Linked DNA regions of Diceros bicornis minor. The protein of the gene in region 1 binds, or shares a complex with, the protein of each later gene. Links are inferred from orthologs where the notes say so. Each region holds a gene or a part of one and is shown on either strand. Other genes may lie near its edges.

Region 1 (10,817 bases):
ATAAATCAAATGTTGAAGAGCATGGTTTTATAAAATTTATGATTCAAAGGTGATTCTTCAGCTTGCAAGCTGAGCCTTATTTTAGTGATGTGTTTTCCCTTGTGATACATTTTTCTTTCACGGAGAATAAATCAGCCACAATCAAAACTATTATAAAATTCCAAGAACCGAGTAAGAATGACACATTCATCTAAAGCTGAAATTGTGTTCCACATGTTCAGGTGTGAAAAGCATATTTTAGTCATTTATTGACCTAAATAATGTGTCATTGCAGCTTTTTTCAAAGAGAATATAGCATGGTAGTCTCATCTCAGGTTCTATGATTTTTCCATGTTTATTCCAGCGTCCTAATCTCCCAAAAAGGCTTCAAATGCATCATGCTTTAGTGGCATTACCCTTGAAGGCATTGAATGCATTTACCTATTTTTTTTTTTTTAGGTATACATGTAAAAATTATATGCCTCAGAATCCCATGTAAAAAAACAATGACCACATTTTATTCATTCATTCATCTATTTATTCATTTATTTAAAGATGTGATTGCTACAGTTACTATTACTGTGTAACAAATAATCCCAAAATGCAATTGCTTAAAACAATCATTTTATTATGCACATGGATTCTGTGAGTCAGGAATTTGAACAGAGCACAGCTGGTTGACTAATATATACTCCACAGTATCTGGAGAAAATCTGAACCCTGGAAGGTGACTCAATGTCTAGGGGTTGGAAACATTCAAAGGCTTGTTCATGCGCATGTCTGGAGCCTTGGCTAGGACTGTCAAACAGAGTGTGTACACATGGCCTTTCCATGTGACCTGGCTCCCTCACGGTATGGTGGCCTCAGAATATTCAAACTTCTTACATGGCAGCTCAAGACTCTAACTACATAAGTTCTAGCAAACAACATAGAAACCACTTTGTCTTTTGTGACTCAGCCTCAGAAATCAATCAGCAAGTCAGCATCACTTCCACCATACTCTGTCTGGTCAATGTGATTATAAATCCACTCAGATACAAGGGGAAGGGAAATAGACCCCACTTCTTGTTGGGAGGAAAGTCAAAGAATTTGTAGGTTTTGTTTTAAAACTACCACAGGGGCATAATAAGATAGAGCACAGGATTTTTATTATTAGGAATAATAAGAAGGCTATAACTACAGGTATATCAGAGTTTAAAAATAATAAGTAATATTTTGACTAATGCTATCCCAATCAATTTAAAAACAAAGAAAAAGGACAATTTCCTAAAAATATATAATATACTGAAACTGAAAGAAGAAATGTAAAATCTGAATAGGTTTATAAGCATTAAAGAAATTAAATCCGTGGTCAAAAATTGAGCTACAGTCACATCCCCCCCCCACACACACACATACTGTTTCTCCAAAGATATACAACTAGCTAATAAGCTCAATGAATTGTGGTGCTCAACATTACTACTCATAAGGAAATGCAAATTAAAACCATGGGAGATACCACTTCATACCTACTAGGATGACTATCATCAAAAAATAGAAAATAATAAATATTGGTGATGATGTGCAAGAATATAAAATGGTTCAGCTGCTATGGAAAACAGTTTGGCAGTTTCTCAAAAAAGTTAACAGAGAATTACTGTATGACCCAACAATTTGACTGCTAAGTATATACCTAAAAGAATTGAAAACAGAGACTTGAACAGATAGTCGTATGTGACTGTTCACTGTAGCATTATTCACACTAGCCAAAAGGGGGGAACAACCCAAGTGTCCATCAGCATATGAACAGATAAGCAAAATGTGGTATATCCTTACAGTGGAATATTAGTCAGCCTTATAAAGGAATGTGGTACTGACACATGCTACAACATGGATGAACATTGAAAACATTGTGCTAAGTGAAATAAGTCAAACACAAAAGAACAAATATTGTATGATTCTCCTTATATGAAATAACTAGAATAGCGACAGAAAGTGGATTAGAGGTTACCAGGGGCTGGGCTGGGTTACCAGTGAGAGAAATGTAGAGTTATTGTTTAATGGGTACAGAGTTTCTATTTGGAGTAATGAAAAAGTTTTGGAAATAGTGGTGATGGTTGCACAACATTGTGAATGAATACATATCCACCTAAAACTGATGCAATATTATATGTCAATTATATCTGAATAAAACTGGGAAGAATGGCCCAAATGCAAATTTTGTTATATAGATATATTTTACCACAATAAAAAAATATATATCTCCAGACCCAAAAGACTTTATAGACAAGTTCACAGAACAGATACCGTGTGCATGTGTGTGCGTGTTTGCATGTATGTGTGTGAGAGGGAGAGAGAGAGAGAGACAGAGACAGAGAGAGAAATAGAGACAGAGAGACAGAAGGAGAGAGACAGAGAAGGACAGAGAGATTAATCTGCTTTGTTTTGAGATTAGAGTATCCTTTATACTAAAATAATACAAGAAAGGAAAAACAATCTCAATTTTGAAAGTAAAGCCAAAAAGTCTAAATATTAGTAACTAAATCCAACAATTAATCTTTTAAACATCTCGACCAAGTTTAGCTTATCCCAGGAATGCAAGAAAAGTTTGACATTAAAAAGCCTGTTAATGTAATTCACCACATTAAAAAATGAAAGAAGAAAAATCGTATTTGATTACCTCAAAAGATGCAGGAAAAAACCTCGTGATACATGATTCAACACTTATTCTTGATTAAGAACTCTTTAGCCAGCTAGGAACACTTAACCTAAAAGAGTGAGATTTTTGCATTTTGATTTAAAACAAATCTGCTAGATTCGTTTATTTTGCTTGCATCAGAATTTCTGCAAGAAATGATGTTTTTGAATGATGTTTTTTAATAATTTCAGACCTTTGTGAGGAGATGTATAATTCTTATGAACTGGTTTAGTTTAGTTAAATATTAAAAGATAAGAGAGGTCATAATCAGAAGGTTATTAGCACAAGAGTGGTGAACAAATCCTACCTCTTATGACAGTTGACCACTTTGAGTACACGATCTCTTACCGTAAACCTCTGCCATAGACTGAACTGTGTCCCCCCAAAACTCACATGTTGATCCCCAACCCTCAATATGACTGTATTTGGAGACAGGGATTTTAGGCGGTTATTAAGGTTAAATGAGGTCCTCAGGGTGAAGTCCTAATCTAATAGGATTGGCGGCCCCATTGGAAGAAGAAGAGAGAGTTCTCTCTCTCCCCATCCCAATGCACCAAGGAAAGGCCGTGTGAGGACCCAGCAAGAAGGCAGCCATCTACAAGCCGGGAAGAGAGCTCTCACCAGAAACCGAAGGGACTGGCACCTTGATCTTGGATTTCTCAGCCTACAGAACTGTGAGAAAATAAATCTCTATTGTTTAAGCCACCCGCTCTATGGTATTTTGTTAAAGCAGCCTGAGCTAAGACAACATCCACACTTTTTTAATTTAATAAACCTTACAGCATTTACTATGTGCCAGGATTTGACCAATATTAACTTACTAAATCTCATAACAACCCTCTGGAGTAGTCACTATTATTATTATTAACCTCAATTTACAGATGAGGAAACTGAAGCCTAGAGAAGTTAAGGAAGTTGTTGAAGATCCTCAACCTTAAGATCCTGCATTCAACTTCTTTCTCTCTTCTCTCCTGGGACTCCACTAGATGTGGTGGACCACTCAATTTCTCCACCATGTCTTTGATCCACTCTTTCCTATTTTCCATTTTTCTGTGCCACATTTTAATTTTTTAAATTTCTCTTTTGCATCATTAATTCTCTTTTCAGCTCTCTCATTAGTAGTTTAACACATCCTTTGCTTTAAAAAAAAAATCATAACTTTACTATTCATTTCTAAAAGTTCTAGCCGGTTCTTTTTCACATTTGCCTAATCTTTTTGATAGCATCTCACTCTTCTCATATTTTCAAAGCCTCCTTTTCAGTTCTTATATGGTCATTGTTTTTCTATATTCTCCATCTGATCATTGTATTATCAGAAGTTCTTGAGGATCTAGTAGTGCTCTCTGATTGTCTGCAGACTCTTGATTGTTTCCCCCTGTGTTGTCTAATTTTGGATTGTGAGCTCATCTTCAGCAAGGTTAATCTGTGGCCATCCTGAACTGACTACTTGAAAGTGTGTCCCTCCAGAAAAGTTTTGTATTTTTCTTTTGTGCTCTTGCTTGGCACCCCACAGGGATCCAGTAGCCTGAGACCATTTTTTAAAATTTGTCACTTAGGGGGTTCCTAAGTGATATAGGTAGCATAAACAAGATGCTTCAACAGCATAGTGCAAGCCAATGGTTATGAATTCTCTGGAGAATATTTTTTCCACCGTATGCAGAGCACACACTACAAGTTCTCTTGTTGTCTCCTTATGCCAGCACTAAATAATAGATAGTCTCTTTCAATCTAAAAGCCTGTTCTTCCACTTCTGAGATGTTTTCTAATATTACTGCTTTGATAAATTCTACCTTTTCATTTCCTTGGTTCTCTCTTTCTATAACTACAGGTGTGGAATTTCTTAACCTGAAATCCTCTCATTTTCTCTATAATACTTTTTTGTAAGGGCGATATGCTTGTTTTTTCATTGGAGAATTCAGAAACGACGATATCTTGGATCTAGTCTTTGTGGCTATTCAGTTTCTCCAGAAAACAATATTTCACGTTTTCCAATTTGATGCCTGTGGAGGTGGCACAGGGGGACCTAAAGATATATGTTTAGTTGCCTCAGTTCTGTGAAAAGGAGAGCAACCTGCCCACCTCTCCATTTTGTATCCAGTTTCCAGCCCTGAGACTCACCCACCCTCTGCCAAACCTGGGAACTTGAGACCTAGTGTCTCTGGTTCAACTTCCCTGGAGAAGAAAGGTGGCTTTTTGGACTGTAGATGGTGTTCTCCTCGTGTCTTCAGATCATCTTCCCTCTGTGTGTGTCCGTCTCTGTGCCTGAATTCCCCCTTTTTAAAAGGACACAGTCATATTGGATCAAGGCCCACCGAATGACCTTATTTTAACTTGATTACCTCTGTAAAGACCCCATCTCCAAATAAAGTCACATTCTGAGGTACAGTGGGTAGGACTGCAACATTTCTTTTTTGGAGTAACACAGTTCAACCCATAACACCACTGAGCCTAATTAAGAGCCTCTCTGGAGTTCTGCAGAGTAGATCAGGTCATTTCCTCATTCTTACTGCTACCTGCCCCCCACCACCACACACACACACACACACACACACACACGCAGATACACGCACAGAGACACACATACATACACACACAGACACACACGGACACATGTACACAGACACACATGCAGATACACACACAGACATACACATACACAGAGACACAGGGACACACATACATACACATACAGAGACATGTACACAGATACTTACACACGCAGAGACATACACACAGATACACAGACACACAGACACACATAGACACATACACACGGGCTCACATAGACACAGACGTACACATACACACATTCAGACACACAGATACACACAGAGACCCAAATACACACACATACACACGTATACTTGGAGTGTGGCTTTCTTTGGTCTGTTCATTCCATTACTCGTCTATCTACTTTGCCTCTTCTCCCATTTCCTTTGCTTTTTTGAGCCATAACATTTATGTCCTCTTTCAGTAATTTTAGAGGGATTCAGAGAATAAGCAGAGATTAGCCTGTACGTTCAATCTTCCACCTTTAACCAGAAAACACTCCAGAGCCACATTCGCTGGTGCCCAAAGCCCCTCCAGGAAGCCTTTGCTGTGGATAAGCTGGACACCCTCACCCTACAACTGCGGCCTTTTATGGTTTTAACCACCCACCTCTGAGCATCGCCTGTGTTTTACCAGAAATGCCCAGTGACCCCTGATGACATGAGGGAGGCTATCTTACAACTTGACCTAATTTTTGCCCAGGTCCCCCAAGCTGACTTCTCTTTGTCCTTCTCCTGTAGGCTGTGCTCCTCTGATCACCCCACATGTTTGTTGTGTTCCACTGCTGGAAGTAACCTGCCACTTTAAAAGAAAAAAAAGCCACCGAGTGACCTTCCTTAGGAACGGGTTGCTAAGCGGGTGTTTTTGCTTGGAGACTTGGCTGCAGCTTCCAGGGAGCAGCCTAGGGGCCGCCCCAGCATTCAGCATTTCCTTTTGGACTCTTTTAGAAGATTCAACAATAGGACCTGTCTCTCTCCACTTTCCCTTCGTCCCAGAAAGCAGAGTCTGCACAGCGCCTTTGTAAAGTTCCTTAAGGTAAAGCAGTTCTTCCCGGGAGCGGGGCTGCTGCAATGGTGTCCCGCTCTCAGTCCCCAGGCTTGGAGTTCAGCCTCTCCCCTCGGTAACCTGAGTGGATTTAATGAACTGTAAATTAAGGGTTCTCATCATTACTATTGATGTTTTACTTTCTGGAATTGAAGCACAGAGCGTTCCTTGGACTGCTTAGATTGAGCTGCTGCCCGGTGTCTGGTGTGCAGGCTATGTCAGTCAGGCTCATCACAGCCCCTGGGTGGAATTCCTCCCAGAGGGTCGGTCCCTCTGCTTCCTGCCTGGGACTTCCATGCCGTCCTGTTGCATCCGGTCTCCCAGAAACATTTGCTGCATGTTGCCGTTCTGGGCCTTTCAGTTCCAATTTGTTTGAGGGGGGAAGTACTAGTTGTTGCAGCCTTCACCCTTCCTCCCATTAGACAGAGAAAAGGCCACTACAGACACAGGGCTGTGGATTGCTGTTCTCTCCAAAAGACCTCAAGATAATCTGCTGGCTGCGATTTAAGCTGATTATTTCCCTTCATTGCAAAGAGGTGCTATGAAAAGCTAATAAATCTAATGGGAAATACAAGTCTGTGGTTGGATTTTCATATCACCTTTTCTGCAAGTAAATTCAGCACCAGAATGAAATCTCTCTCGATATCTCTCTCCTAGAGCTCATTTAAAGAGTCTTTCATTCAAACATTTATCGGGCATCCACAGTGCACCAGGCAATGTGCTGAAGTTGAGAGTGTGCAAAAGTGAATAAGATAGGTCAGAAGCTCTGAGTTTCCTGGGAAGACAGACCTGTAAACAGATCATAACAGTAGAGTGAGCTGAGTGCCATAGGAGATTTATCACAGGGTTTAAAGTGCTTAGAGCACAGCAGACTACTCCCAGGGAGGGCCTGGGGGCACCTGGTTCATCGTGTGTGCGCCCTGGGCATATATCACAGAGCGCAGCTCAAATATGGGATTTATATGTGCTCTTCAAGGGCGATGTGTGTTATATTGAGCTGATTAAGGTCCCTAACCTTAAACTATGGGAAGCTACGGCTGGAATAACTTGTAGAATTAGGTAATAAATTTTAAAAAGGGTGTGTGTGGCCCCTGCCCAGCGTAGGTCCAGGCTCCAGCTCTGCCAGTCTGGACAGAAAAAGCTAAGCACTGTACACAGGGAGAAATGCCCATGGGTGTGAGGGCAGGGGAAGGCTTCAGAAACACCATAAATAGAAACAGAAAGAAAACTGCCCTGGGCCCAGCTCAGGGAAGGGAGAGGGGATATTGGTTATTAGAGCCAGAGAGTTGAACTTGGGAACCAAAGATGGTACAGGGGGCCTGATCTAAGGTCTTTCTTATGACTCTCCTTCTGTCCCCTAAGCTCTTTCCCTCCCCACACGATTCTTCTACTTTCCCTCTCTACCATCACATTTTTTAATAATAACGCTTACTGGTATTGAAAGCCTGGTCCAAGCTAGGCATTTTACTACACACATTTTATCATTTAACCCTTATAAAATCATCACCCACTGAGGTAGGATTTATGATGGCAAGTTTACAGATGTAGAAATCTCAGAGAGGTGAAGGCATTGCTCCAAGAGCACACAGCTGATAAATAGAGCTGGAATTGGAACCCAGGTCCATATAATTTTTTACAAAGGCCTCACTCTTTCTATAAACCCATGTTTTCACAGTTCTGGAGTAGGATGCACCCACTGTATTGTTTTTTAAGCAGCCAAGGTTGAGATGCAGTGCATACAATGGTGCCCTTTTCATATATCTTCATTCCTTTTCCCCTACATCCTGTAGAATTTGCCACAGGGGCCCCTGGATAGGACTTTGATCCTCTTGACCCTCAGAGATAGTCCATTTGTTTGGATGAAGGTGTCACTACTTTCCTTGAAATATGTCTGTGGTTTCTGCACTGAGTTAAATAAATCATTGACTTAAAGTAGCCAAAGCCCGTTCTCAGTGGGACAATGCTCCACTTCAACTCAATCATCAATATTTCCAGAATAGTTGGCTAGCATAGAATGGTAACTGATATCATCGTAAAAGCGAGACTAAATGGTGAGGCAGAGTGGCACGGAAGAGGACTCTGGGATCACAGTCTTGGGGTCAAATTCTGAATGTGACGTTGAATAACTATCACCTTGGGCAAGTCATGTAACCTGTCAGAGGTTAACCTCAGAGGAAACCTTGGTTTCCTCGTATGTAAATTGAGGCATGTGCTACTAAGTTAGCAGAGTTATTGTGAGGCCTCATGATCACATGTATCTAGAGAGAGCACAAAATAAGTCTGCAGTAAATCACAGCTCTTATTTTGATGTTACCAATAGAAATATATTAACAAGCGCTCAACGCAAGATGACAAGCTGCATATTAAAGTGGGGCAATATTAATTTATCTTTTCTTAGCAACAGTGTTCATGAAAACATAAATTTTGATGTTATTTGATTTCCTTAGAAACTCATTCAAAAGTAATGATCAGGAAAGAATGAGAAGAAAAAAATCAACCCCATTACATTTTTCATTTTCTACTTCTATTTCTTTCTTTCACATACAATATATTTTTTTAATTTATTGAGAAAGAATCTTTTTTCAGTCACTAAAATATATCACAGTTCTTTTGTTCCCGTTCATAATTACCAGAGGTGTTTATTAGAGAGGTTTCGTGTCCTGTGGCATTTCATTTTTATTATCTGCCCCTCCTTCTCTCTAGATTACCTCCCCATCCTTTTGTTTTCCTAGCTGCTTTCATCATCTCTCTTCCTCTGTTTTTTGTAGCCCACGAGGAGGTCTGGATGGGAGACAATGGAATTTCAGATGTTTTATTTCCCTTTAACGTGCTAATCCCCCACTAGGGTCAGTGAAACCTTGAATACCTCAGATGAACTGCTTAAATGACTGAGTCCCAGCTAGGAGTCAGATTCCACGGATATGAGGAAGGGCTTATGATTTGTCAGCCCTGATGTTTCTCGCCATGTTTTCTCATTTCATGCTTCGCAGCAGCCCAAAAAGGCTGATGAAGCTTTGAAGCACTCCAGAATGTGGCCATGGAGATGCAGTCAGTATATAGTGATTTAGTCTTCCACTCAACAAATATTTATTGCGTGTCTGCTGTGTGCCATCATCCTAGACTCTGGGGGTAAACAACGAATGAATATCCTGCCCTCCTGAAGCTTATATTTCAATAGGAACGGGCAGACAATAACAAATAAGTACATATGTTGACTGGTGATAAGAACTGTGGAAAAAGAAATCACTATAAGGCAGTTAGGGGGTTCCAGGAGGTTATCATTGTATTGTGAGTGTACAGGGAAGACCTCTCTGATAAAACGAAAGTTGAGCAGAACTGAGTTCTGAGGGAACTGAAAGAGAGAGAGACATGCAGATATCTTGGGAAAGAGAATTCTAGGCAGAGGGAACAGCAAGTGCAAAGGCCCTGAGGCAAGAGGATGCAAGTGCAGATCATGTAGGGCCTTGTATGCTATTGAAAGGATTTTGAATTTTACTCTGTTGAGAAAGGAAAGTCATTGGAGGATTTTGAGTGGAGGAATGACATGATTTCACTTAAATTTTAAATAATTCACTCTCACTTCAATGTAGAGACTGGACTGTAGGTAAGAAGGTGGGAAGCAGAGAAGATAGGAGGTTCTCCCACTAGGCCACATGAGAGACCACGGTGCTAGACCAGAGTGATAATAGTGGAGGTGCTTGGAGGTGGTTGGGTTCTTAACATAATTTGAAGGCCAAGCTGGCAGGACTTCTATGGATTGGATGCGGTGTGGCATATGAGAGTCAGAGAGGAGTCAAGAATGACTGTCAGGTTTCTGGCCTGAGAAAAACGGAGTTCTGTTTATTGCAACAAGGAAGGTTGCAGGACAAGCAGATTCAGGGGTAATGACGCAGAGCTTCGTTTGGGGCACGTTAAGCCAAGTGAAGGCATCCATCAAGCACTTGAATGTTTGAGTCTGGAGTTCTGTGGAGATGTGTGGCCCCAGGATCTAAATTTGGGGAATATCAGTGAGTGGATGGTATTTAAAGCCAAGAGACAGGACGAGAAGGCTAGGGGAACGAGTTGAGGCAAGGCTGGGCCCCAGGCACTCTCACATGTAGTGGTTGGGAGATGAGGACAGACCAGCCCAGGAGTTTGAAAAGGAGCAGCCAGTGGGTAGGAGGAAAACCAGGAGAGCATGTCCCAGAAGCCAAATGAAGAAAGTATTTCAAGAAAAAGAAAGTAATTGGTCACTTTCATGACTAAATGCCTCTTACGTGTCAAATAAGATGAGGACTGAGGATTGATCATTAGATGTGGTGACACAAGGGTCCCTGGCAAGAGCAGTTCCAGGGAGTGTTGGGCCCAAAACACTGATTTGGAAAGAGAGGGTTTGAGGAGTTTTCCTGTAGAGGGCTGAAAGTTGAGCAACAGCTAGGAAAAGATGTGAAGTCCAGAGAGAGCTTTTTTCAACGAAGGGGCCAATTACAGCACTTTGTAAACTGAGGGAGATGAGCCAAGAGAGTAGGAAGAAATAATCATCCAGATGAAAGAGAGAGACTGTCTGGATCAAGGCACTAGAGGAGGG
Region 2 (10,862 bases), on another chromosome or scaffold:
TTGCTGAGGAAGACCTGCTCTGAGCTAACATCTATTGTCAATCCTCCTCCTGTTTTTTCCCCCACAGCCCCAGGAGATAGTTGTATGTCATAGTTGCACATCCTTCTAGTTGCTGTATGTGGGATGCGGCCTCGGCATGGCCCGAGAAGCGGTGCATCGGTGCGTGCCTGGGATCCGAACCCGGGCCACCAGTAGTGGAGCGCACGCACTTAACCGCTAAGCCACGGGGCCGGCCCAGAGTTCTGTAATTTCTTACCCAATTCAGTTTAATGATCTGAAAGTTTATCAGAAACCTGTATTCTAGAGTAAGCGTCAGAGTCCTTTCCATGAATTTCTCTGAAGATGAAACATGTTTGCAAAAGCAGAGTAAAACAAAACCGTCTGTAAATGACAAAAGACTTAAAAATGGCAATTGATAAAAATAAAAAAACTTGGGGGCTGGCCTGGTGGCGTAGCAGTTAAATACGTGCGCTTCTCTTCAGCAGCCTGTGGTTCGTGGGTTTAGATCCCAGGCATGCATTGACGCATCGCTTGTCAAGCCATGCTGTGGTGGCATCCCACATAAAGTAGAGGAAGATGGGCACAGATGTTAGCCCAGGGCCAATCTTCCTCAGCAAAAAGAGGAGGATTGGCATCGGATGTTAGCTCAGGGCTAATCTTCCTCACACACACACAAAAACAAAACAAAACACAAAACTTGGCCATTTCTGTGACACAACACTAAAATAATAATTGGAATTATAACTGACAACCAGGATAGATCAGCGTTTTAGGAATGTTATATAATTTTTTAAAAACACTTATATCAATAACATTTACCCACATAATGTCATAGGTTCCTATGAAACAATGCTTAGTTATCCATTTAACCAAAGTGACAATTAGATTTTGAAGGCAGAGAGAGCCAAACAGTTTAAAAAAGCTTAATAGAGAGACTTCAGCCTTTTTGAACATAGGAAATTATTTTGACAAAACATAGCTTTTCTTTCTTTTACGTAGATTTACTCAAAGGTAAAGAAAAACCTTTTATAATTTATTATTAAGAGCAGACTAAAAGTTTAAGAAAATTATCCTTTCAAGAGAGAGACAACCAAATTCTAATTTTGCACCAGCTTATTTTTGATATTAAAACTCATTTACTTAATTAAATCCACTTTAATCTTAGCCAACTTGACCATGTACAAAATTCTTTTCTCAGTTTTTCTTTTTATAAACCTTCTATAACCTTTTTAACAAACAAAAATCTTTATTTCTCATACCTTCTTTACTGAAAACATACATCTTACTTTCCTTGAATACAAAGATGTTTTCCTTATCAATTTTTAGTAGTTTTAATCACATATTAGAATTTTTAACCCTTATAGACCTTAATTTTTAGTGAAAACTGAGAAGTAAGCAATTATAAACTGTCTTTTACAGTAGCATTCTGTGGCTTGGCAAGTTTATAAACACTTTTCATAATTTCTAGAAACATGCTACTTCATAGTACAATCTTTTTTTGTGTATGTGAGGAAGATCAGCCCTGAGCTAACATCCATGCCAATCCTCCTCTTTTTTTTTTTTTTTTTTTTGCTGAGGAAGACTGGCCCTGAGGTAACATCTGTGCCGATCTTCCTCCACTTTATGTGGGATGCTGCCACAGGATGGCCTTACAAGCAGTGCATCAGTGTGCACCCGGGATCCAAACCCAGGCTGCCAGCAGCGGAGCACGTGCACCTAACTGCTACGCCACGGGGCTGGCCCCCAGTACAATCTTTTAATAAAACACAAGACATGTTTTCTAAAAGACCTAAACACTTTTTAGTTTCTCTGTAATAAGAAGCCAAAAGTAGATGAACCTATATTAATAATTAACATCTAATATTTTATCTTATTTAGAAACGATCTTGATATTCAGTGAAATTTCCATCATTTAATTTAGCCAAGCAAAACTTCAAAATTTCAAGTTACTAAAGAGATTTTGGAAGTTATTTTAAATACTCATGCCATAAAATATAATTATTGCTAAAAGTTTATCTATAAACTCTTATCTCACTTACATCTAAATCATTTGCTCCCAACAACTATGTTTAGATTACCCACGAAAACTTCATGAGACATTAGACAAAATTAGCTTATCATTTTAAGCTATTATTTTCCTGACAAATTTTTAACAGAGATAACATGAGCTTATTTTTTAATTTTATTTTATATTTTTGCTGAGGAAGATTCACCCTGAGCTAACATCTGTGCCAATCCTCCTCTATTTTGTATGTGGGTCGCCGCCACAGCATGGCCCCCAATGAGTGGTGTAGGTCTGTGCCCAGGAACCAAACCCAGGCTGCTGAAGCAGAGTGCACTGAACTTAACCACTAGGTCACAGGGCCAGCCCAACATGAGCTTATTTGACTAGTAAACCCAGGCTGCATGTCTGCATGATATCCAACGCCGATAACTCTGAGGACATGTTTATTTCAATCAAACCAACAAACTTAAACAAGTTTGCATTTACCAAAGATTGTTTTATATCATGTTAACTTGAAAGACATTTGAATTAGTTTCTATTACATTTAGAAATAATTTATGTAAGTGCTTACTTTAAGCCAATTAAACAGAGCTCTTAATCTTGGCCATAGCTTCCAGAGGTAAAATATCACACATATATAATATACATATAGACACACATACACAAAGACTCCACAGCTACTGTTTTAAAACTTTAGGACAATGTACCACACCTTTAAAAGTCTGCATAAAGCATTTAACAAAGGCCTTCTTTCTAAGTGTACAATTTAATCCTAGACCAATTTACCTTGGGTGGGGAGGAGCTTTTATTACCTTTTTTTTTTTATTAGCACCTGATATTAGCCTCTAGTTTTTATCTCATACAGTACAGGCTCAGGCAACTCTATTGACTTCCCTTTAGTATATTTAATTAACATTGTCTGAAGGGCAGATTTATATGCTGTCTTACAATCAGGCAGGGGAAATGTTCCCCAGTAAGACAGGATGTCTATCCCCATAATACGATCTATAATACAATCAGGCAAAAAGAGATGCAATCACTTCACATAAAGCCCATAAATATATCAATTTTCTACAAAATTTCATCTGAATTCCATTAACTCTTATACCTCTAATGATAGTTCCATTAGGACTTTATCAATAGGTCTCAGTCTTATAATATTGGAAGGGGAAGTGTTCCCAGCCAGATATAACGTCCATTTTCAAAACACACTCAGGCAAAGTTGATATAGCCTCTGTACAATATTAGCTCAAACACTTCAACTTCTATAATCTCATCAACACTTATATTTTTACAGTTTCTCAATTTAATTGTAACCTGAGTCAGGGTCTGAAGGCTAGTCATTATTTGTTTTGTATTTCATTTTTAATTTGGTCTTTTCATAGTTACCAATAAAACAATTATGATGAGAGTTCTCAAAAAATGTTTTATAATTTAGAGAAGTTTTTCCAATTTAAATGATCCATCATCTGGCCACATTGAGGAGGAGGATCTTAATAGCTACTCAAACTGATACTGAACTTCTTAATCTCAAGTTCATGTGCCTGGTGTGCAGTAAACCAATCGCTGAGATATCAGTGCTTGGAGATGGAGAAAGGTTTATTTGAACTGGCCACACGAGAAGTCAGGAGGATAGGTTCTCTCAAATCTGCCTTAAGAGAAGAAAGCAAGGGATTTTATAGAGCTAAGTGGCTTGGCAGGAGGAGTTTCAAAGAAACAAAGGAGTAATCCATGTTTCTTTCACTCCCGATAAGCCCCTGGGCAATCTGACTTCTGGGTGTCCACAGCAGCTGGGGGCTGGTTATCTGCGGATCCTTGAAGGCATTCTTTTTCTTCTGTAAAACAAGCTCATAAATCCTTGTGATCCTTGAGTCACTCCTCAGGTTAAACAAGAAAACAGCAAATTGACAAGATTAACTTATTTTCATCTACGCCTGTGTTGGGAACAAGGTTGAAAAGTAATCTTATTGAATATTTACAGTAACCCTCAAGTACCTGGCTTCAAAACCAATAAGCCTTATGGCTTAACCATGGACACGGAGCCATCCCCAAAACATAGTGCAAAAGAAGCAGCCCTCACAAGATCCAGAAAGTTCATTCACAAAAATACTAAGAAAGCAAGGGCCTTCATTGCCCAGGCAGTAAGACCAGCATTAACAAGCCACAAAGGTTGAGATGACAGAATTCCCTTATGAAAGCAAGTGGGATGCCTTATGACAAACCCCCCTGAGAGCTGATACAGCCAGACAAAGAGAGTGCATCTCAGACCCCAGTCTACTCGACTGATCGCCAAGATGCATGCCAGTACCTGCATCTTCTGAATGGTGGAGACCAAAAAGGTCACAAAGCCAAGCTCTCAAGACATAGACACAAAGACAGAGACAAGGAAAAATAGTGACTATCTCTGGGAGGAAAAGGATCAATAAATAAATCAATGAGTACTCAAACCAAATTTCCCAGAGTCGCTGAGGCCAAGAAGCTAGCTTCACCAATATTTTCTCCTGCTAATCTAAATTTAGAAAAGGAAAAACACTCACCACTTTCGCTTCCATTGGACCATGCAGGCAGAGATCCGGGAGACTGACCTGGAAAGAACTCTTACCTCCTGCCGGCTCTTGTCAGGGATCCAGGATCTCTCTCAGCTGCAGTAGTCCAGGAGCAAGCAGCCTCCAGCCAGTTAAGTTTTGCCCCATCCTGGTCACCAAACTGTGGGGGAGGAAGGCAACGTACATGGTGATGGAAAAGCAAATGTTGGATAAGCAAATGTTTGCTGGGCCATCTACAGACAATGAGACACGGAAGCGATCTTTTGAGAAAATGGCCCTTGCTAGATGCCTTCCTGTCTACCACACCTAGAATTATCTACAGTGAGAGCGCCTTGCTGGGACAGGTCCTTCAATCTTAAAGCCTTTTAGGCAATTAGGGGGAAGGTCAAAGTTTCCTTTAGGGTCTTTTGTCCTTCAAAATAATCAAGCCAAAGAGACACATTTTGGGGTGGCAAATTCTGATTCCCCACAGTGCTATCACCTTACGTGACTTTTTTGGGAAAAATGGGTGCTTTCTGTGAGTCACATCCACCGATTTTCAGGCCAAAGTTTCCGATCACTCAGTGGAAGGCAGTGTGATGTGGTGCAACAAGTAGTGTTTGAGAACTCAGGACACCGGGGTTTGGTCCCCATCACCATTTCTGAATCTATTTGAAAGGGGCCGATGGCTCTGCCTTAGTTTCCTCATTTGTAAAGTGCATCAAGTCCAGCCTTGGGTGTGAGCGACCTTTGTTCTCACGCGCTGCAAACGGTGGCTCGCAGGACCCCAGCTTGAGCGTGCACACACGCTTCGCCTGGCCTAGGCCCCTCCTGGGGGGGCTGCGGCAGCGCGGCGCCGCTGACCGCGAGTTGCGCGCGCAGAGCCTCCACACCTCACCAGCCCAGCGTCTCCGTTGCTGGGGGAACGGAGCGACGCGCTTTCCGGCGCAGTCGCGGCGCGTCGCAGCTGTCATGGCGGAGGCCTTCTGGAGCACTGACACCGGAGAGGCCGTGTATCGCTCTCGGGACCCCGTGCGCAACCTGCGCCTCCGGTAGTCGCATCGCCCTACCTAGAGCCCCGTGCTTTTATGCCCTTAGATAATTCGAGCCCGAACTTCACTTCTCGTTTGCTGAGGCACGCACATCCGCCTACAATCCTGACCACTGCCTCCCCATTCTCCTCGCGTCGCCCTCACTGCCCGGAACCTTCCGCACTCACAGCTTCCAGACTCTCCGAAGCCCTTTTAAGACCCTGCCTCTCCCAGATTCCTCGGAGCTCTGTGTCCCCAATACACTCTGTCATTCTCGCCCTTCTCCTTAGGACCCCACACCCCGCTTACCTCCCCCTCTGTTGCCTGCACCCAGTACACCTTGGTAGCCTCACCCTCTTCTGTGTTTTGTTTCCATCTTTGCTCTGTGTTCATCTCCTAGTTGTATGTCTTGTAACGAGTATTTCGGGTTCCCTTTTCCTGACAGAGTCCACCTGCAAAGAATCACATCAAGCAGCTTCCTCCATTACCAGCCTGCTGCCCAGCTCGGGAAGGACCTCATAGACTTGGCCACTTTTAGGCCTCACCCAACCGCCAGTGGGTGTATGGTGGTGATGCGGCCCCTTGGGGATCTGGAGAAGTGCCTGGGGCGGTAGTTACCTCTTAAGACAGAGTAGACCCAGGTCTCTCATCTGAGAAAAGGCATAGATAGGTTGGGTTCCTTACCAAGGGTCACTCGGCTGGGTAAATGTTGAAGCCAGATTTAATCCCAGGCAATTTTAACTACTCCATTATGTTGAGTATGACAATTGAATATGACATGATTCCTGCCGTCAAAATACTGATCTGAATTGTGGTCAAATATAATAAAATAACAGAGGCCATACTTTAGATATGTTATAAATCTGCCTGGAAACGTAAATACCATTTGTGGCATTTTTTTCTAAGAGAAAATCTGATCCAAATACTTTGTAAAACGATGTTAAAATTGGGGTCTGCTTGAAAGATGTACATATTAACATCAACTGCCCTCTTGTGGTTTTCCTTATTTGGGAAGCCAGAAGAGTGAGGAAGCGAGGACAGTGTGTTTGTGTTGTCACTATTCTCTCTGCTTTTATTGTTTCTGTTCGTATATATTCCTGGACAAAAGTATGGGCTGATGGTTGTGAAGCATGTAACTCTGAAAAAGGCATACCCAGCCAGGAGTGTATTAGATTTGGTTCTTTTTTTTTTTTTTTTTGTGAGGAGATCAGCCCTGAGCTAACATCCGCCAATCCTCCTCTTTTTTTGCTGAGGAAGACGGCCTTGGGCTAACATCTGTGCCTATCTTCCTCCACTTTATATGGGACGCCGCCACAGCATGGCTTACCAAGCAGTGCGTCGGTGCGCGCCCGGGATCCGAACCAGCGAACCCCGGGCCGCCGCAGCGGAGCGCGCACACTTAACTGCTTGCGCCACCGGGCCGGCCCCAGATTTGGTTCTTTAAATAATCATTTATTTGCCTTTCCTCTTCTTGCCTGATACTTGGTCTCCTAAGGGTAAGTGCTTGTGATTCTAGATATATGGCTTCAGGGATAGTAAGGATAACAATGCCAGGGTTCCTTTCTAGCAAATGTAGACAGTTGGGGTTGAGGAAGAGCTCTTCAGCCTATATCTAAATTTCAGCTCCTGACACTGAATTAGATTAAATAATTCCTGGAAGGCATGACTCATTTTTATTCAAATTAGAGTCATAATTAAGACTTCTTGGGTCCTAATCCTGGCTTCTACACATGTCCACAGCCTCTCTAACCTTTGTGTAGAGTGAGTGCTTAATAAATTGCTGAACTCCACCTGGTTTTGTGGCAAATATTAGAGCAGGGACTTTGGTTATAACCAACCACAGAGCAAGAAGTAGTACTGCTTTGGCTCAAACGTTTGACGCACTCTGTTGTCTTTGGAGGTGGACACCGCCCAGATGAAGATGAAGAGGAGGAGGTCGTGATTGGGTGGCAGGAGAAGCTCTTTAGCCAGGTAAGCTGGTGTCACTTGTCTGCTAGGTCTACCTCCACCTGGCTGTAGCAGGGAAGGATCTTTGATACATACTGCCAAACTGATTTCTAGAAAGGTTGTAGCAGTTTATATTTTCCCCTGTTGTGTTTATAGGGGCAGTGTAACATAGTGACTGCCACTACCCAGTTTTATGATCCTGAGTAAGGCACTTTTCACCTCTGGGCCACGTGCCGTCTGTAACAGCAGAGTTAGATGAGACCATCACCCTGGTTCCTTTTAGCTCTAACATTCTTTGGATCCCCTGCCCTCCAGTGCTTTAGATAAATTGAGAGTTGGCTACGAAAACATGTCAAATTGCATTAGCTCTATAGAACTGATTTGACTAAACAGTTATAGGAACAAAAGTTTGACATATTTGGGGCCTGCCCCATGGTGCAGTGGTTAAGTGCGTGCGCTCAGCTTCCAGGGCCCGAGGGTTCACAGGTTGGGATTCCGGACGCGCACCGAGGCACCGCTTGTCTAGCCATGCTGTGGTGGCGTCCCGTATAAAATAGAGGAAGATGGGCACACATGTTAGTCCAGGGCCGGTCTTCCTTGGCAAAAAGAAGAGGATTGGCATGGATGTTAGCTCAGGGCTGATCTTCCTCACGCACACACAAAAAAGTTTGACATATTCTCAGTAGATCTCTGTCTCATTGTGACCTCAGTTTGAAGTAGATCTGTACCAAAATGAAGCAGCCTGTCAGAGCCCTTTGGATCATCAGTACCGTCAAGAAATCCTGAAGCTGGAGAATTCGGGTGGCAGGAAGAACCGACGAATCTTTACCTACACTGACTCTGATAGATACACCAATTTGGAGGAGGTATTGTTCTTTCGGAGGTCCCATAGCTTCCGTCTCCTTTCCCTCCCCTAGCTTTCTGGCCTCACTGGGTTCTGTGTGTTAAATTAGAAGCCTGTTAGGGAGAAACAGACAGCCTGTCGAAGAACTGCCTTGTGCTATTGGCAGCCAAGCTGGAGTAGAGTGGGCAAGTCTGCAGGTGGTGTGACCTGCTGCTCCCTTCTCTGCCTGCTGGAGGGCCTGGGGGAGCTGGCAGTGTCTCTAATAATAGGCTTACAGACTACAAACCAGAAGAAGCAGCTTGACTTCCTCCATGTATCATGAGATAAGATAGGTGGGTGGAGTCTCGAACCATCTAGATAAAATTCATCAGGAGATTCAGTCAAAACTCTTGAGTAGGGGCCAGCCGGTGGCGCAAGCAGTTAAGTGCACACGCTCCGCTGCAGCGGCCCGGGGTCTCCGGTTCGGATCCCGGGCGTGCACCGATGCACCACTTGTCAGGCCATGCTGTGGCGGTGTCCCATATAAAGTGGAGGAGGATGGACATGGATGTTAGCCCAGAGCCAGTCTTCCTCAGCAAAAAGAGGAGGATTGGCGGATGTTAGCTCAGGGCTGATCTTCCTCACAAAAAAAAAAAAAAAACAAAACTCTTGAGTATATGGGTTTGTAAAGGAATTCAGCATAGCCATGGGGAATGGCTTATGTCCTCAATTTGTCTGTGCCTACAAACCCTTGTGGACTTGTTTTACATTTTCTTTAGTCATTGTATAATATGTTCTATCTTCTCAGTGAGATTTTAAATTCCTTGAGAGTAGAGCCTGTATTTTCTGATTTTTGTCTGTGACCTTGTAGATCTCTGCAAGGAGCAGGTGTTACATGAATGTTTTTGAAAGATTGATGCTTATATTAGGAAAGCAGTGGGTTGGTAGTATATAAAATTTGGGTTGTCTTTGGAAAAGTAAAGCAAATTGCAGTTAGCGCTCAGTTACCCATGTGAGGATCACAGAATACTTGTATCCCATTTGGCGTCTTCCAACTACCTGGTTAATGTCAACATCTACCAGGCAAACTCACCCAACTTTTCGTTGGTATGGATTGCAAACTCATTTTAATATCAGCATAAATAAACTCATTTCTGAAGGATAACATACAGCTAAAATCTTAGGGCAAACCAAAGCATGGTAGGAATCTTATGCGGATTGTTTGTGCCACTGCTCCCCTCTGTTAGTATGTGTAATTGTGAGGTGGCTGTACCTCTTAGGTTCAGGTCTTGGATGAGGTTTCAGAAGGAAGACTTGCCTTCAGGTACTTGTCTCTTGTGGCCCTGACTAGATGGGTTACACAGGGCTGCTCTCTTTTCCCAGCACTGTCAGAAAATGACCACTGCAGCCAGCGAGGTGCCATCATTCTTGGTTGAGCGAATGGCAAATGTCAGACGGCGACGGCAGGACAAGCGAGGGATGTGAGTGCAAGTGTATACGGGGGCTCTGGGGAGCCTTTGTGGTCCTTCGTGCCGGTGTCCTCGATATGCCCACCGACTTGAGCTTCCCATTCTGCAGTAGGCCTCCACCTGGGTGTGCTCCTCTGTGTTCCTCCTTCAGGCTATTCAGGGGGTGCCAGAGAAGTGACCCTTCCTGTGGTGTCTCCCAGGGAGGGCAGCATCCTCAAGTCGCGAATTGTCACCTGGGAACCCTCAGAAGAGTTCATCAAGAACAACCATGTCATCAACACCCCTCTTCAGACAATGTACATCATGGCAGACCTAGGGCCCTATGGAAAGTGAGTGAAGCTTCTCACTGCCCAGCTCAGGTCCTCATCCTCATGATCTCTCACTAACCATCACCTACCTGTTATAGTCATGTGGGAGTATGGGAGGGAGGGACTTTTTCTTCGTTTTCTTCTTCTTAGTTGTACTCAGAAGAAAGTATTCTACCATGATAATTCTCACTAGAGCCTCTGTCCTCTCCCTGATGTGGGCTGACTACTTCTTCCTCTTTCCCTGGAGGTGGGACCAGTGATCCTGAACCTTGGTGTTGATTTCCTGGTTTCTAGGCTTGGCTATAAGAAGTATGAACATGTCCTGTGTACTCTGAAGGTGGACAGCAATGGTGTGATCACAGTAAAACCTGATTTCACCGGCCTCAAAGGACCCTACAGGTGCGGAGAGGAAGAAAGGGGTAGTGGAGCCTGGCATTCCTTCCCTAGGCTTCTCTTCTTACCCCTAGTGGAGAAGATTCTCAGACAGCCCGTCCTCTGTTCTAACTTCTAAATTCTCAGGCAGTGGTTCACATTCTATTCTGGGTCATAGACCCTTAGGATACTGGGGCTCTTGTTCTCAGAAAATGTGCAACTGCACCAATTCAAAAATGATAACTTCAGCCGTGTAGTGAAGTGAAAATAATTCTTCGTGCTGCTGAATGTAAGAACTAACCAGAACAAGGTGAGATGAACTCAGCCAGATCTTTTCCTCCGGGCTGATTGTTCCTCATCTCTATGCCTTAGAATAACAACT

The links. The genes of interacting proteins can lie anywhere in the genome.
Region 2: CC2D2A (region 1) and MKS1 share a complex: the UniProt entries of both Homo sapiens proteins name them as parts of the tectonic-like complex. The link is inferred for Diceros bicornis minor from reciprocal best matches to the Homo sapiens genes CC2D2A and MKS1.

The regions. Positions count from the first base shown.
Region 1 is NC_080747.1:11,983,261-11,994,077, forward strand, and holds the start of CC2D2A (coiled-coil and C2 domain-containing protein 2A), read left to right. Parts: upstream 1-6,132; 5' UTR 6,133-6,241; intron 6,242-10,817. UniProt on the Homo sapiens protein: Component of the tectonic-like complex, a complex localized at the transition zone of primary cilia and acting as a barrier that prevents diffusion of transmembrane proteins between the cilia and plasma membranes.
Region 2 is NC_080757.1:29,466,528-29,477,389, forward strand, and holds the start of MKS1 (tectonic-like complex member MKS1), read left to right. Parts: upstream 1-5,493; 5' UTR 5,494-5,502; coding exon 5,503-5,582; intron 5,583-6,006; coding exon 6,007-6,116; intron 6,117-7,461; coding exon 7,462-7,532; intron 7,533-8,218; coding exon 8,219-8,374; intron 8,375-9,714; coding exon 9,715-9,812; intron 9,813-10,000; coding exon 10,001-10,129; intron 10,130-10,402; coding exon 10,403-10,507; intron 10,508-10,862. UniProt on the Homo sapiens protein: Component of the tectonic-like complex, a complex localized at the transition zone of primary cilia and acting as a barrier that prevents diffusion of transmembrane proteins between the cilia and plasma membranes.